Linked DNA regions of Lepisosteus oculatus. The protein of the gene in region 2 purifies or fractionates together with the protein of the main gene of each other region. This does not show direct contact. Links are inferred from orthologs where the notes say so. Each region holds a gene or a part of one and is shown on either strand. Other genes may lie near its edges.

Region 1 (7,484 bases), on a different chromosome or scaffold from region 2:
TGTTTCTGTTTGTACATCCTAAAGAAACAGAGAACCCAAATGTCCCATCTAAATCAGGGCAAGATGCATTAAAATGGTTTCTTCCAGAGTTACCTATGGCTGTAATTTATACTTAAAGTGTCCTATTGATTGCTTAATGGAAAATAGGATGTTTAATGGAATTCTAGCGTTAATGTTTTCAAGACAGTTTCAAACAACTTCATGCATTTAGGCTAATATGTTACTTAAAACAATCTTCTACTTCATTCAATCTTCTACAATGTTCCAAAAGATTTGAGTGCAGGATTCTAATGAGTTTTTGAGTAGTTATTGTTATCCTGGATAGTGATAGTTTATACTTTATAATTCTGAAAAGTTATACTAGAATTGAAATGTAAAATCAATGTTTGTTAAGACAATTTTGAATGTCTTTGAGGGTGTTGTGTCAATAAAACTTGTATCGCTTATTACATTTTACTTTTTTACTGTTTTCTTCTTGTATTCATTACAACATCCTGAATTCACATAACAAAGCAGCAACAGCTGCATGCATTGAACAGCTGTCCAAGCACTGTGCCTTTTTTTTCTAATTCAAAATTTGACAAATTTTCATCCCATTGTCGAACATCTCTGATAGCATGTCAGTATATATGATGTTTGCCTTTTGGATTTCCAGTCCCTTTGATGCAATTGCAGATGAACACTTCACTCAGGAGAAGGTCAAACCCTAATCTCACCCACTTCTTGTAACGAACAGTTCTTTCCGGACCCTATGCGGACGACACAGTCCGACGGAGTGGGGAAACACTAGGGAAACGTCATGCAGGAAAACGGGGCTGAAGACAAGGGGGCGTGTCCAAAGTGCGCTGGTGCACGGGGGAGGTATGGCCGAGGCGAACAATCCGAGAGTAATCCATAGAGTATCCAAAACACGAAGGTAAGTCCAAAACCAGAAGATCCATCAGAACACGGAATTAAAAACCACGAAGGCCGGGTCGGAACCGGCGGACAGGGGACAAGGAACAGGGGTTAAAACCTTAACGGGACCAGGCGCTTCCTGGTCCCGGACTCGCACGATATGGAAATCAGATGCAGAGCCCGGAAGAGCGTCAGCGCCTGGCTTTTAAGGTAGGCAGGGAATAGGGCGCAGGTGCATGGAATAAAGTCTAGAGTGATAGGGCTGGAGCACCCTTAAGGAGGGGGAACTAATATCGTGACACTTCTACCTGTTTATAAGCATCATGCTTTTTCTCTACTCACTCACTTTTCTCAACCCTTCCTACATCCCATCTTTACCCCTGAAGCAGCTCCCTGTCTTATTCCTCATTAAAGAAGGAAGAGGTTCCAACTGATAGGTTGTTGTTAACCTCAGCCAGGGGAGTAACCCCAACAGAAATCTAGATACCACTTATCCTCCTTAATTAGGGTTTGACCAAACAACTTAATTCAGATTTCCATAAGATTTGAGTGCAGGGTTCTAATGAGGATGCTTTCTTTGTTAAACAAGTAATAATCAAGCATGACTTTTTGAAATCACTTGTCATCTTTTAAAATTCCTTATCTTGTTCAGTTGCGCCATGACACTCTGAACAACTAGAAAATCACACAGCAGTTTGATTAGCTACTCTGATAAGAATCCCACAAAGCTTAAAACGTCACATAGTGCGAAATATCTTCATTTTCAGGTTTTCTCTAGAAAAGAGTACATCTATACTAAGTATATCCAAGACCACAGAGAATGAAAATGAAGTCTCCTTGGCTTTTGTGAAATACATCCTGTCTTGCTTTGAAGCATGCCACCAGGCTTGCAGCCCTCTCCATGTGTGAGTGATGAAAAAAACCACATTAAAGGCACATGGTGAAGTGCAGCCATGTGACTCGTTAATAGAGTAAGTGCTCAGGTCCCTGCCTCATACTAAAAAACTGTGCCCAAAACGTTAATTACTTCACCGCACACGCAGGAATTCTTGTGTTTATGGTTGCAGAAAGAAACTTGCAACCCTGCTATTTGTAATCCAAAAGCACGGGAATCCCTGGAAAAGTAGTGGCTCCTGCAAACTCTTATGCACCACACGGAGGGTGCATAGCACAACATAATTGAGGCGTTGGTCCTGTTTCGAGATCACAGATGTGGGCACTGCCAACATTGCCAATCACTGCAAGTGATACCACTGCTCGGCTTCTCAGATCGTGGATGCCACTGGGGCTCATAAGTAGCAATTGCAGGTACTGTAGGAGCAGGTGAAAGAGAAGGGTAAGCCTCAGCTTTCTCCAAGAGAAGATGCCTCTGCTGTAGTTAATAGGAAAATATTCTACTGTATTTTCATTGAGTATGTTTAAAGACCTCATGGAGCAGTTCTTTTTCATATCGTGATTGGAACAGTGGTAAACTGAATGTCACATTTACTAATTATGGTCCATGGCTTGCAGATTATACTTGAACCTCCCCTCTGCATCCTGGTGTTGCCTTAAGATGAAGCTCGCAAAGTGGTTGTGTGAAATAAATACACCCCAATTCTTTACAGCTAGTTTAAGACAAGTGCAGCAGGAATGTAATCAACCACACTGTCAGTTTATCATAAACAGTTTTGCTTTGTGTGTTAAATTGTTTATCTATAGGAAAGCACTGAAACCTTCATGAATAATCTTATATTGACTAGAAATCTGCTGGAATTTGCTTTTTTACTGCTGCTCCTATAAACTAAGGTATACAGCACAATTTAGGCAGCAGGTTGGTTCTGGATTAGAAATGGTCATGCAAACTCGCAAATTTGAAAAAGAGACATAGTATGATAGGATGAAGAAAACTTACCCTGTTTGTTGCGAAAGAAGTTTAGTGTTTGCCTCTTTCTTTCCCTTTCCAGCAAAGTCTGTATGAAACAAGAAACAATACAAAGAACTTCATAAGTGCACAGTGTTCAGTAAATTCCCCACGTTAGTCCATCGGACCCTCTGAATTTGTGTCGTGGAGACTGACTGGCTGTCAAGGGAAAGCCTCCCAGCAGCCGCAGTGGCTGTAGGATCCCAGTGGGCAGAAGACACACCTTGAGACGTGCTCTTCACCAATCAAGAAGGGGAAGGGCGGGGGGGGGGCAGCTCTGCCTCCTCCTCGCTCCGCTCTGTCAGGAGAAAAACACTCCACACACTCTGCTTCTTCAGCCCCCCTCCTCTTGGGGAGTGCTGCAACTTGCTCCCGGACTCCGCACATTCCTCTCATACTGCTGCCAACCTGCCGCTGCAGCAGCTGGGATGTGTTAAACGAGGCAGTCAATTTTTATAACCAAGGTCATGGGCTTTATCTCCAAGCAAACTCCAGACCTCGCCCTCCCCTTGAACTAAGCCGCTGTAAGACTCTTCCTTTCATTAACGCTGCAAGGATAACAAGGAAAAGAAAATTAGCGTTGGAAAAAAATGCTGTATCTACAGCCTCTAAGCCCAGTTCTGAGGAAATTAATTGGAATCAGGTCATTTAGAGGGGATTTCAGGGCTGCTGGCTGCCCCACCACGGAGTTTGAAAAATAGATTGTCTCTTCTGTTAACCCTTTGGCTGAGTGATTTTTCATTTTCTTAAATGTTTTTTTTCTGAGTAAATCTGACTGCTTTCTACATTGACCAATGAGCATGAATGTGCTGGAATTAATCAAGGTCCAATAGTTGGGTTACATCTGCTCTCCGTTGAAGTTGATCGCTTCTAGGAGTATTTTCCGTGTGTTTCCACTCCTATAGGAACTGTAGTGTTCATTCCCTGCACCAGGAAGAACATGGTCCTAGGAAAAGTGTGCATAGTCATTACTGTTGGTTCAAGTGGGGTGGCAGGAAGGTAAGTTGATTAACATTTAGATTACACATTATGTAAAGAAAACAATGGGCGGTTCAATTTTTTAAAAAATGTTGTTTTATAGCACACTCCCCAATAGCTCACTATGTTTCAATCATGAAACAGTGGAAAACGTAATCTTGGAATCTGAACTAGATTCTACCTTCACCTCTTCTGACCCAAAGTCCTCCTTCATACCAGAAGATGCGATTTTGCAACACTACAGACTCTTAGATAATTGAACTCTTTCCAAGGAAAATAGTCAAAGATAACCAGGTCTTATTTTTTAGCTGCTGTTAAGAGCTGTGGGTAAGAGATGATCTTGGATTATTCTTTCCTTTTGTTTCTTGACAGACTCCATTTCGCATGATTCTTCAAGCACTGTGGTCAGGCTTTCTCCAGAAGTTAATGTAAGAGCCACTTAAGAGACTTTTTTGCAAATCATCTGTCTTATTGTCTTCTGAGGGAAATGTTTTTTTAAAGCATAGAAAGCTACTTTGAAATGCTGTAAGTTATATATGATAATATGTGAAAAGAGGCAGTCCACACATAACATTGATAAATTGTACATTGAGCACGTATGGTGTATTATATTTAATCAAGTGAGGGGGGAAAAGACTGCACTTTGAAAAAAATATTTATCAATATATTAATGAGATGATTTATTTGTTTTAATTTTCACATTTACTCCTTTTTAGTGCAGACTTTAACCAGAAAGCCAGGACACTGCTAAATACCTGTTCAGCTCCAAACACATCCCCAGTGTGGAGTTATTCTCTTACCATACCTGGAACCCTGTTCGTTTCCAATTTCTATTTTTTCAACGCCTGGAGGAAAGAGCTCTCACACACACCTCTTTTCCCCATTAGAGAGATCAGTGACATCTCTTTTATTTTTTTAGTTTTATTTTTTTGTGCAGGAATAATGGAAGCCAACAAGTACTGAAAGATAACACAAAAATGCTTAAAGGGAATTAAACATCAATCATTTAATAGGTTAATGGTGAGGTTATACTTGGAACATTTGAGACAAAACAGTAAGCTGATTTATTTTGTGCTGTCTGACTACCATGCAGCTTACTAAAGGTATCTCATTTTGCATTTGGATAGCTTTAAAGAGAGCAGGGAAAGCATCTTCTTAATACATATCAAGCAAGAAACTGAAGTTTAATTAAATGCATGTTTTATGATGCTTAGCTTACTGTGTTTGGCCTTTCATCTCTCTGCCTTAGTGACTTGCCATGGGGACCAGCAGGGAGCTGGAGAGGAGGAGGTGAACCAACCCATAAATTGGGAATAAACCAGTTTATTCTAAAAAAAATACTTTTCATTTTCTCTTCACTGGGTGCAGTTGTTTTCTACCTACTGCCTAGAGTCATGTGTAGAGAAATAACTCTGGCACAAGTGCCGTGCTTTGTTAGTTTACAGTATACTACGGCAGTGCTATATGCCTGTACCAACAAAGTGTATTTACAAGGATAAAAGGTGAGTGGAAGGGCACATTAATTTGAAGTTTTTTCCTTTCATTAGCTTTTTTTTAATGGAGTTTGTAACAGAAAATCGGGAGGAAGAAAATCTTGCACTCTTAGGTTTGCCAATGGATATACGTCACACATCTCTTACTTCTCCTGCCACCCCACCTACACCCCTACAGTAACTCCCTGCCTTGGCCCACACACTTTCAGATAGGAATTAAGCTGCTTCAAAATTGAATAAGAAGAAAGAATTCTTATTCTTTCCTCTTATTCAATTAATAAGCCTACAGGGAGGCCTACAGGGAGGAGGTCAATCTCCTTACAACATGGTGTGATGACAACAACCTCACCCTCAACGTCAGCAAAACCAAGAAGCTGATTGTTGATTTCAGGAAACTGCAAACCGGACATGCCCCTATCCACATCAACGGGACTGAAATGGAAAGGGTCAGTAACTTTAAATTCCTTGGTGTCCATATCACCGAGGACCTCACATGGTCTCTCAACACCACCTGTCCGATCAAGAAAGCGCAACAGATGCACTACAGAAAGCACACTGACAGGCTGCATCACAGTGTGGTATGGCAACTGCAGTGCTGCTGACCGCAAAGCCCTACAGCGGGTGGTGAAAACTGCCCAGTCCATCACTGGGGTTACCCTCCCATCTATCCAGGACATTTATGACAGACGGTGCTTGAGGAAAGCTCTAAGCATAATCAAAGACCCCACACACCCCAGCTACAGACTTTATGATCTGCTACCATCTGGAAAACGGTACCTGAGCATTCGGGCCCGGACTACCAGACTCAGAGACAGTTTTTACCCCCGCACTATCAAACTGTTAAATTCCCAGCCTCTCTCACTCTCACCTCACCTCTCACCTATGATCTGAACCTCACAGTGCCTTCTTCCTTCCTTTCTTTCTTACCAAAAACCCAAACACACATTGAAAATCTTCCTCTACCATACATGTCAAAAGCTCACTCCCCATAATTTCTATCCCTTTATTTTATTCTGTTGATGCATATGAACTTGAACTTGAACTTGAACTTTATTGCCATATGTAACCGGTACTGGTACAATGGAATTCTTACTTACAGAAAGTCTCTCGTTTGTAAAACAAGTGTAAAAAACAAAACAAAGTGCAAAGAGTGCATCAAGACAATGTACAAACAAACAATAGACAATGTGCAAGTAAACATGCAGACAGTCTGAATGTAAGTAAACATGCAAACAGTTTGAATGTAAGTAAACATGCAGACATTTTTGCACATAACCTGTTACCTTTTTGTTGTTTTGCACATTGCCTGTTGTTTTTTGCACATTGCCTGTTGTTGGTTTTTTGCACATCGTCTGTTGTTGTTTTTTGCACACTGGCTGTTGTCTCTGTCTTTATTTTGCTACACAATTGTATTGTTGTTGTTGTTGTTGTTTTTTCTCTTTGTACTACTTATGTCCGAGAGCTACCTAAATAGCATTTCGTTATACCATAAACTATGTATATAAGTGTAATGACAATAAACTTGAAACTTGAAACTTGAAAACTTGAGAATGTAGTGGTTTGGAGATTCTTAATAGATAAGATACTGGCAAATTGGATGCATACTGTTCTTTTTTTACAAGATCAGCTTTTTTCTTTGGCAGAGAGTTTCTGATTTCCCGTTTGATCTTGGAAGTCAGTGTGAGACAGCTACTTGCAGGGATGAGTCAGTCCTTTGAAAGACAGCTGCCTGCTTTGCTTTCCAGTAGTGTGTGATTGCAATTATAAATATTTACTAGTCCATTCGGTAATTTGTAACAGCAGCTGACGACAAACCTGGTTCTAGACATAATGACGGAGAGCAGGCATGACGATTGTGTTAATGTGTGCAGGAGTGTCTATTTAAAGAAGCACAATAGGGCTTCTGAAATGTACAACAAGACCGCTATTGTCTCTAACATATTTTTGTTTACAGGAGTGGGTGATCAAGAGCGCCCACAGGGTTCTGGGGTGCATAAGGATCTTAAGGTTACAGATGCACAGTCTAAAAGGACCACTATCAGACCCTCTTCTTTAAGTGTAGACTTGGGAAGTGCTGCTTTTTAAGAACTAAAAGCTTGGGTCATGCCAAGTGTCAGCTCTGACTAGGAGTCCATGAGGGGCACTACACAACTTGCATCTGAGCTTTCTCCTGTGTTTTGCCATGTATCTACCTATGTATCTGCAGTGACATC
Region 2 (7,363 bases):
CATAGAAATCTGCTAACAACTTCATAAAAACACTTGTTTATTAACATAGAAAAAGTATATCAATGCAAAATAGAGTGTTGTTACATCCTATTCAGTCGAAATTGTGTGAAAACAAAAGTACCAATTTTTTTATCAGCGAAAATAAAGGAACCAGATCCATGGAGGAACTAGCACTGCACTACCCCTGGGATCTGACTGGCACAGCGGGTTCTCCTGGGATCTGACTGGCACTGCACTACCCCTGGGATCTGACTGGCACGGCGGATTCCCCTGGGATCTGACTGGCACTGCACTACCCCTGGGATCTGACTGGCACGGCGGATTCCCCTGGGATCTGACTGGCACTGCACTACCCCTGGGATCTGACTGGCACGGCGGATTCCCCTGGGATCTGACTGGCACTGCACTACCCCTGGGATCTGACTGGCACGGCGGATTCCCCTGGGATCTGACAGGCACGGCGGATTCCCCTGGGATCTGACAGGCACGGCGGATTCCCCTGGGATCTGATGCGGCACGGCGGATTCCCCTGGGATCTGATGCGGCACGGCGGATTCCCCTGGGATCTGATGCGGCACGGCGGATTCCCCTGGGATCTGATGCGGCACGGCGGATTCCCCTGGGATCTGATGAGGCACGGCGGATTCCCCTGGGATCTTACTGGCATGGCGAATTCCCCTGGGATCTGACTGGAGCTACGGATTCCGCTGGGATCTGACTGGAGCTACGGATTCCGCTGGGATCTGACTGGAGCTATGGATTCCGCTGGGATCTGACTGGAGCTACGGATTCGGCTGGGATCTGACTGGAGCTACGGATTCGGCTGGGATCTGACTGGAGCTACGGATTCGGCTGGGATCTGACTGGAGCTACGGATTCGGCTGGGATCTGACGGACACTGAAGATGCTGACCTGGCAACTGCTGGTATTGTGTAAAAATGACACCTGAAGAAGGCTCCACCGACGAAACGTTGTGTTCTCTTTCTTCTTTTTTTCAGCATGGAATAAACCTATTACTTGTTCCTTTGTGTAATAAATGTTGGTCTTTGCAGCTATCCACAGTGGGCACTGTTCTTTTGCGTGTTCCAAGCTTTGGCAAACGTTTGACAAAGAAGTCTATAAATAAAACTTGCCAGCAACTATATCACCCTGCAGCTCACAACTTGCAGCACACTGGAGCTCAGCAGCTGTAAGCCTGGCAAGTACCTGGATGGGAGACCTCCTGGTAAAATGTGAGGTTGCTGCTGGAAGAGGTGTGAGTGGGACCGGTCGGGGGTGCTCACCCTGTGGTCTGTGAGTCCTAATAGGGACAAGGACACTGCACTGTAAAAAGGCGCTGCTCTTCAGGTGAGATGTAAAACCGAGGTCCCAACTCTCTGTGATCATTAAAAATCCCAGGGTGTTTCTTAAAAAGACTAGGGGTGGTACCGTGGCGTGTGTGGTGAGTGAACTGGTGCAGGTCGGCTGCCATCTCATCATCCAGGTGGAGCTGCACACTGGTGGTGGTGGAGAGTCCCCTCCAAAGTAAAGTGCTTTGAGTGGAGTGTCCAGAAATAGGCTATATAAGGATATAATTATTATTTGTCTAAAACATTTAACAATGCGAGCATGACTAAAGTGCTCTATAACCCACCAAATGATGCACATACAGTATATGTATACTCAGTGCATAAGCATACACAAGTGTTTCTTTAAATCGGAAGTTCCAGATCAAAACCATAGACAACGAGGGGTTTCCGCCGGCGTATCGGATTAATCATGTATTCTGTACCTTAACCGAGGGACGCTCAAAGCCGATACTCCACGGCTGTCCAGCAGGGTTTTGAGTCTATTTAAATATCCAATTTCTCGAGGAAAAGCTTCAATATGATCAACTAAGCACATAATGAGCCGTAATGTAATTAGGGAATTAGGGCTCAGGTCGGAAGAAGACCAGAACCCTACCCCCCACCTGGACTGGACTGTGCCCCCTGCGCCCCTCTTACCTGTATATCAGAGCGGTAGCTAGGTTTGACGTGCGGGCAGGTGGGATATTTCGGACGCACCGCCGTTCAGTAATCCACGCAGCGCACGGAAAGTTCGTGCAGTAAAAGAAGGTCTAGCGCGCCTTACACACCAGGCGCATCCCGCCGTGCCCTGCCCGCACACCCGCGCGGCGGAGCCGGGGCTACGCCACCCGCCTCTGATGGGTACACAGTAGAAACTTCGGGTAAGGACATTTCATTACAGACAACTGCCCTGAAATCTCCGCGACCAGCGCAGCAGCAGATCCACAACACGGACTCATAAACAGAGAGCAGAAATGCACACAAGTCAGCCAAGCGGAGCTACTTGGCGCAGACTTCCACACTGCCTCGTCCGCGCATAGTGTACACTTCAGCCCGGTCTCTCTCCGCCTTCGGAACCTCCTCACGACTCATGAATTTACAGCATACAGGGATTCCTTGTCTCTAGGTTTCTTACTTACCGGCACAGACATCTTTGAAATATGCCGCTTGGTCTGCGTTATGGTTGATGGAAACTGTACTTGACGCTTGTAAAAAAAAAAGAAAAACGCTATTTTGTCAAAACAACTCGGGGCTTTTCGTCCTTATGACATCCTTGCTTTTTATCGTTTGTATGTTATTCTTTATCCACGCCAAAACCAGGATCTTCAGTCTGATTTGCGTCGGAAATCAACGTCAGGAATTTCGTTCGTCTCACCCAAAATCCAGCAAAGCAGAGCTCCCAATTCCAGCCGAGCCCAGCGCGTGCACTTGGTATTTACAGAGCCCCCCTGTCTCAGCTCCGCAAATCACACCTTCTCTTCTCCTAAATGTCACCAGTCCCTTGGTTGTTCTTCTCTCTCCTTCTCAGTCTGGTACTAGAAGCGTAAAGGGTCTCCTATGCAATCGCTCCCTGAGCCGCTTGCTCCGGCGCCCGGATCTGCGGCAGTAAATGTCACTCCGGCGCAGCAGACACGGAGCTGCTCTCTGGCCGCGAGGACGGAATCAGCAAGTTCGGTTTAAAGGGATGGTCTCCCGGAGGGGGGAGAGGCGGGGGGCGCAGGCGCTTTTAACATAGGCTTTCCAGCACGGCTCTTTAAAGGGAACGTTTTTTTCATTTTCTGTCGGCTGTAAAATGCCTGTTCTCACTCTGGCTAATATCGATAACTTATCAGCTGTAGCACTAACAGCACATCCAGTACAGTATATGGTCCTGGCATGTTCAGTCCTTGGTTGCAATGAACGCAGTTAGTTTCGTGTCATTACGGTAAAGGTTGGAAACAGTTACATGAAAGTCATCAATCATGGATTTTCACTGTGATCCCAGGATGTCTTACATCTTCGTGCGCCTGAACAAGCCTCCTGTTTCAAAATGTATCACAGTCACAGATGAGGTCCCATAAACGTCTGAGATCTGTGCTGCGCTTAAGGGATGGAAAGGGTTCCCCTCTTACACAGGTTTAGCGTTGGACTCATTTGGGCTAAAAGGCTCTGTTTAATTGCTAAGAAATAATAAACTGCTCTCCTTCTACTAAAAACTGTTACTGCTACTGTTACTGCAGATATATCTGGCAACAATGGCACCTCTACCCTATGAAATCCTGAATAACTGCAAACTCCATTTCTAGACGTGTATAAGTGTCACAGGCGGCTGTTCCTGCAGCTGTACTCACAGATAAACACAGAGCACGCCAGGTTGCAGAGCAATGCAGGAAATCTTGTACCACAAACACAGGTTTAGGTTTAAAAACTGATGTCCAGAACTTGAGCCCCAACAATCAAGCCTTTGTACTGAGTTTGCTGGTTCTCATTAGGACTGGTGTGAGGAACTGACTGGAGAGACTCGTGAACACAAAGGTAATGAAAAATCTAGTATTAACTTTACGGGTCCTGTCATAGTGGTGACCCATTAGGAAATCTTCCAATACCCCTGTTAGCACTGGGGTGTCCTGCACAGCCCAACTCCAATGTAATCAGTCCTGCAGGTGTGTCAGCTCTTCATGTGTGGGTGCTTTAAACCCTGCCCAGAGGTCAGGACTGGGGACCCTCCACTGGTTTTGAGACTGTGCAAATCTTTCTTTGCTGTTTACTTGAATTATTCACAGGAGAGACGCAGCATCAAAGCAGACAGGAAGCTCACAAAGCCTCTGCCACTAACAAATGATGTTCCACACTCTTGCTCTCATGTGCCGGTTCCTGACAAAGACACTTCAGTGTCAAAATGTTGTCCTGTTTTTACAAGTCGCTCTCTGTGGTAAGCAGTCATGCAGTGAAAGTAGTGAGCGGATTGCTGAACCGCTGAACGTCTAGCACAAAAGAATTAAGAACTACACCTGAGAGCACATCAGAGCACGCAGGTTCCTCCCCCTTTCTTTTGCATTTTTTAAGTACCGAAATCAAAGCCTTGTGAGCAGCAGCAGCACCTCACCGGTGAAGTGAACCCCCCCAGGGATCGGGCTGTTGCAGCACCGCTCCCGAGATGAGACACAAGCTGTCCCCCCTGGGGCTGCAGGGGCGGGCAGGAGAGGAACAGGTACAGCCCCCCAGGGAGAGCAGCCCCCCTGCTGTGTCACGGAACACGCAGAAGAGAGGATCCCAGATGTGTGTGGGAGGTGCCAGTGGATTTGATTGTTTTATTTCGTGTCACAGCAAAAGCCCAAAGCATGAAAGCAACCCTGACAGCTGTGACTCCTGGACAGTTTATATACCCGAGTCTGGCTGCAGGAACATTTTTACACTGTGAAACAGGAAACAATTCCGAGACCCTGCTGAAGCCTTCACACTCTTCCCTCAAGAGCTGATTCATCTATACCTGCATGCTGGACTGTCAGAACTGGATACTTCTTAAAGAAGAGGGAGACAAACACACCCCCTGCCCTTTTCGCTTTTCTTCTGAGTGCTTGTTTGAAATGTAATTAGGATCCTGACCTTGAAACACAGAAACATCCCTGGTGGCGTTTCATTCTGTAACAATAATTACAGTCACAGAGTGCGCCTCGCCTCCGAGACCTGCAAAGGGCTTCACCTACAGGAGGGACCCACTTCGGCTACTTCTGTAGTACAGCCACACCTGGGGAGCCAGCAGACCAGGTGAGAGGGTGATCAGGCAGAGAGGTGACCCAGTTCAGGGGAACTGGGGAGGCAACCGGGGTTAATAACTCTTCTGTTACGTATAATGTCATGAGACCTTTAATGAGCAAGTACTTAGGATCTCAGTTTAAGATCTCACCCAAAGGACAGAACCTTACAGCACACTGTCTCTGGGTCACTAAGCTGGGTCACAGTTTTGGGAATTCTGCTCCAAGGGGCAAGAGCGCCACTTACTGGTTTACCAACAACACCCACAGCAGGAACTTGATTTTCCCTGCAGGTCTCTTGTCTCACTGCTGCCCAGGCTCAGCCTCTCCAACATCTTCCTACTGAGCCTTGCTGCCCAGATATTGCTAGAAGGTAGTGGCAATACTATTATTTTAATAAAGTAAAACTGAGAAGTAGATATTGATCTCATTTGGGAGCTTATGCATTAAAGCGGGGAGATTAAAATGTAGGGGGAGGGGAAAATCAATGGGTGATCTCAGTGGTATTTTCAGCAGCGTGGGTGCACTAAAAAAAAAAAGCATTACAATCACATCTCAATAGCACCCGACTCCTGAGGGAAGAGCAAGTTAAAAGAAGGTTTTTAATAGGACTGACTATGCCTTGTGAATGTTCTGGAGTCACGCCTGTATGAGACAGACTCAGAGCTGCAAGATGAAATCCTTTTCCCCACATGCTGAGCAGAAATGATCCTAAACCAACAGCATTGAGCTTTGCCAGTCAGGCGATGGAATAAAGAGACATTTCCCTCTCTGCAAACCCCTCTGTTGAAGCAACGAAAAACCCAGGGATACGTCACAAGCAGCTGCTGGAATACAAAGCCCCCAGTGACACAGGTCCCATGCTGGACCTCTGCTTCCCCCCAGATCACTGCAAAGACTTAAGCAAGTGCCGAGCAAAATCCTGATGATGAGGAATTTCAGTTCCTTCACAGATATGGATGACGTGTTTGAAAAGAAAAGAAGAATTGAACACAGAGTGTGACCATGCTGGGTGAAGACTCAGCTTGCAGAGGAAAGGAGTGAGCTGCACGGAGGCTCTGTAGCTCTTCCTGTCCTGCCATTCCCTTTTGGGGGGGGACTGTGAACTGTGTCACTGCAGGGTCTGGGGGGGCCAGCTGGGACATCAGGGGTCCTGCAAAGAGGAGCACCTGTCAAGGCCGGCAGACCTGGGTGGCTCTCCCAGCGCCCCTCACTGCCTGGACCTCTGCTTCTGTCCCCGGTCCAGAGCAGCACGTTCACGGCAGAGTTCACAGGCCGCGGGAAGGAATACACTCTCCCCTGCTTGCTCGTGGAGAAACAGAGTTCACGAGGAGCAGTCGATGTCGCTGTGAAGGGCACACATGATCTGCACGCATCTGCTACAGTGCCAAGCGAGAAACTGAGACCCGAACACTGCTCTTTGACCGTGTTTAAATCCCTGTGAAGGCACGCCCAAACAATCAGGACAGGGCAGATGTCAGACTTACCTTGTCTTTGCAATGTCAGGTTGAATTATTAAATGCACTAATCTGTGGATGGAGAAAATGGCCTGACCAAAAGCATCTCGACATCACATGCTGGCAGCTGCGGCCTGCTGGGAGTATCGCTGCCTGTGAAACAAGTCACTGTTTGCACTTGACAGTCTGTGTTTGCTTATTAGATTAGACGTGGTTGAGCTCTCAGGCCCACAGCGGTTATTAACAGGCAGTAGGCACATACAGGTCAAGAGCGAACAGCGCTTCCACCACACAGAGACACTGTGAGGGAGGAGCAGAACCAATCATAACAAGCAGCAGGCTGGCAGCGCAGGGCGATCGCAGCGTCCTGTGCCAGGTCAGGACACGCCCCGCCCTGCGCCGCCAGCAGGGACAGCCATGGCAAGAGCCGGCCCATCACAGCGGAGGCAGCCGGAGAAACAAAAACGAGAGCAGGGCCTGCACGTGACTTCAGATGTCCATTTTTATTCATGTCAGGATAAGAACACACGGGGAATGGGCAGCAGCCTGCCCATTGACGTGTCCTGAGTGGCTGAGCAGGTCCAACACTGGGGTCACCTGCAGTGTGCCGGATGCTCAGCGGACACCCCAAAACTTTCAGCAACAACAACCTTGACCCATCATCACACTGACAAAACACCCAAGCCTAAAAACTTCCCACATGGAAATACAGAGTCTAACATCACTCACTGCCTGCACTGTGTATAAAAACATATCCACAACTGAACGATTCACAACAAGAAACTACAAACACAATATCCTCCTCTCTCTAGAAGTACTGCTGCTAGTGCAGGTTTGAAAGCAC

What was found. Proteins that work in one complex are often made in the same cells at the same time.
Region 1: the proteins of bcar1 (region 2) and bcar3 purify together in Homo sapiens (co-immunoprecipitation; 4 studies listed by BioGRID and IntAct, counting the BioPlex papers as one, with this or other methods). This does not show direct contact. The link is inferred for Lepisosteus oculatus from reciprocal best matches to the Homo sapiens genes BCAR1 and BCAR3.

What each region holds. Positions count from the first base shown.
Region 1 is NC_090704.1:27,726,361-27,733,844, reverse strand, and holds the start of bcar3 (breast cancer anti-estrogen resistance protein 3), read right to left. Parts: upstream 3,041-7,484; 5' UTR 3,024-3,040; intron 2,850-3,023; 5' UTR 2,792-2,849; intron 1-2,791. UniProt on the Homo sapiens protein: Acts as an adapter protein downstream of several growth factor receptors to promote cell proliferation, migration, and redistribution of actin fibers.
Region 2 is NC_090715.1:820,346-827,708, reverse strand, and holds the start of bcar1 (breast cancer anti-estrogen resistance protein 1), read right to left. Parts: upstream 3,002-7,363; 5' UTR 2,480-3,001; coding exon 2,468-2,479; intron 1-2,467. UniProt on the Homo sapiens protein: Docking protein which plays a central coordinating role for tyrosine kinase-based signaling related to cell adhesion. Implicated in induction of cell migration and cell branching. Involved in the BCAR3-mediated inhibition of TGFB signaling.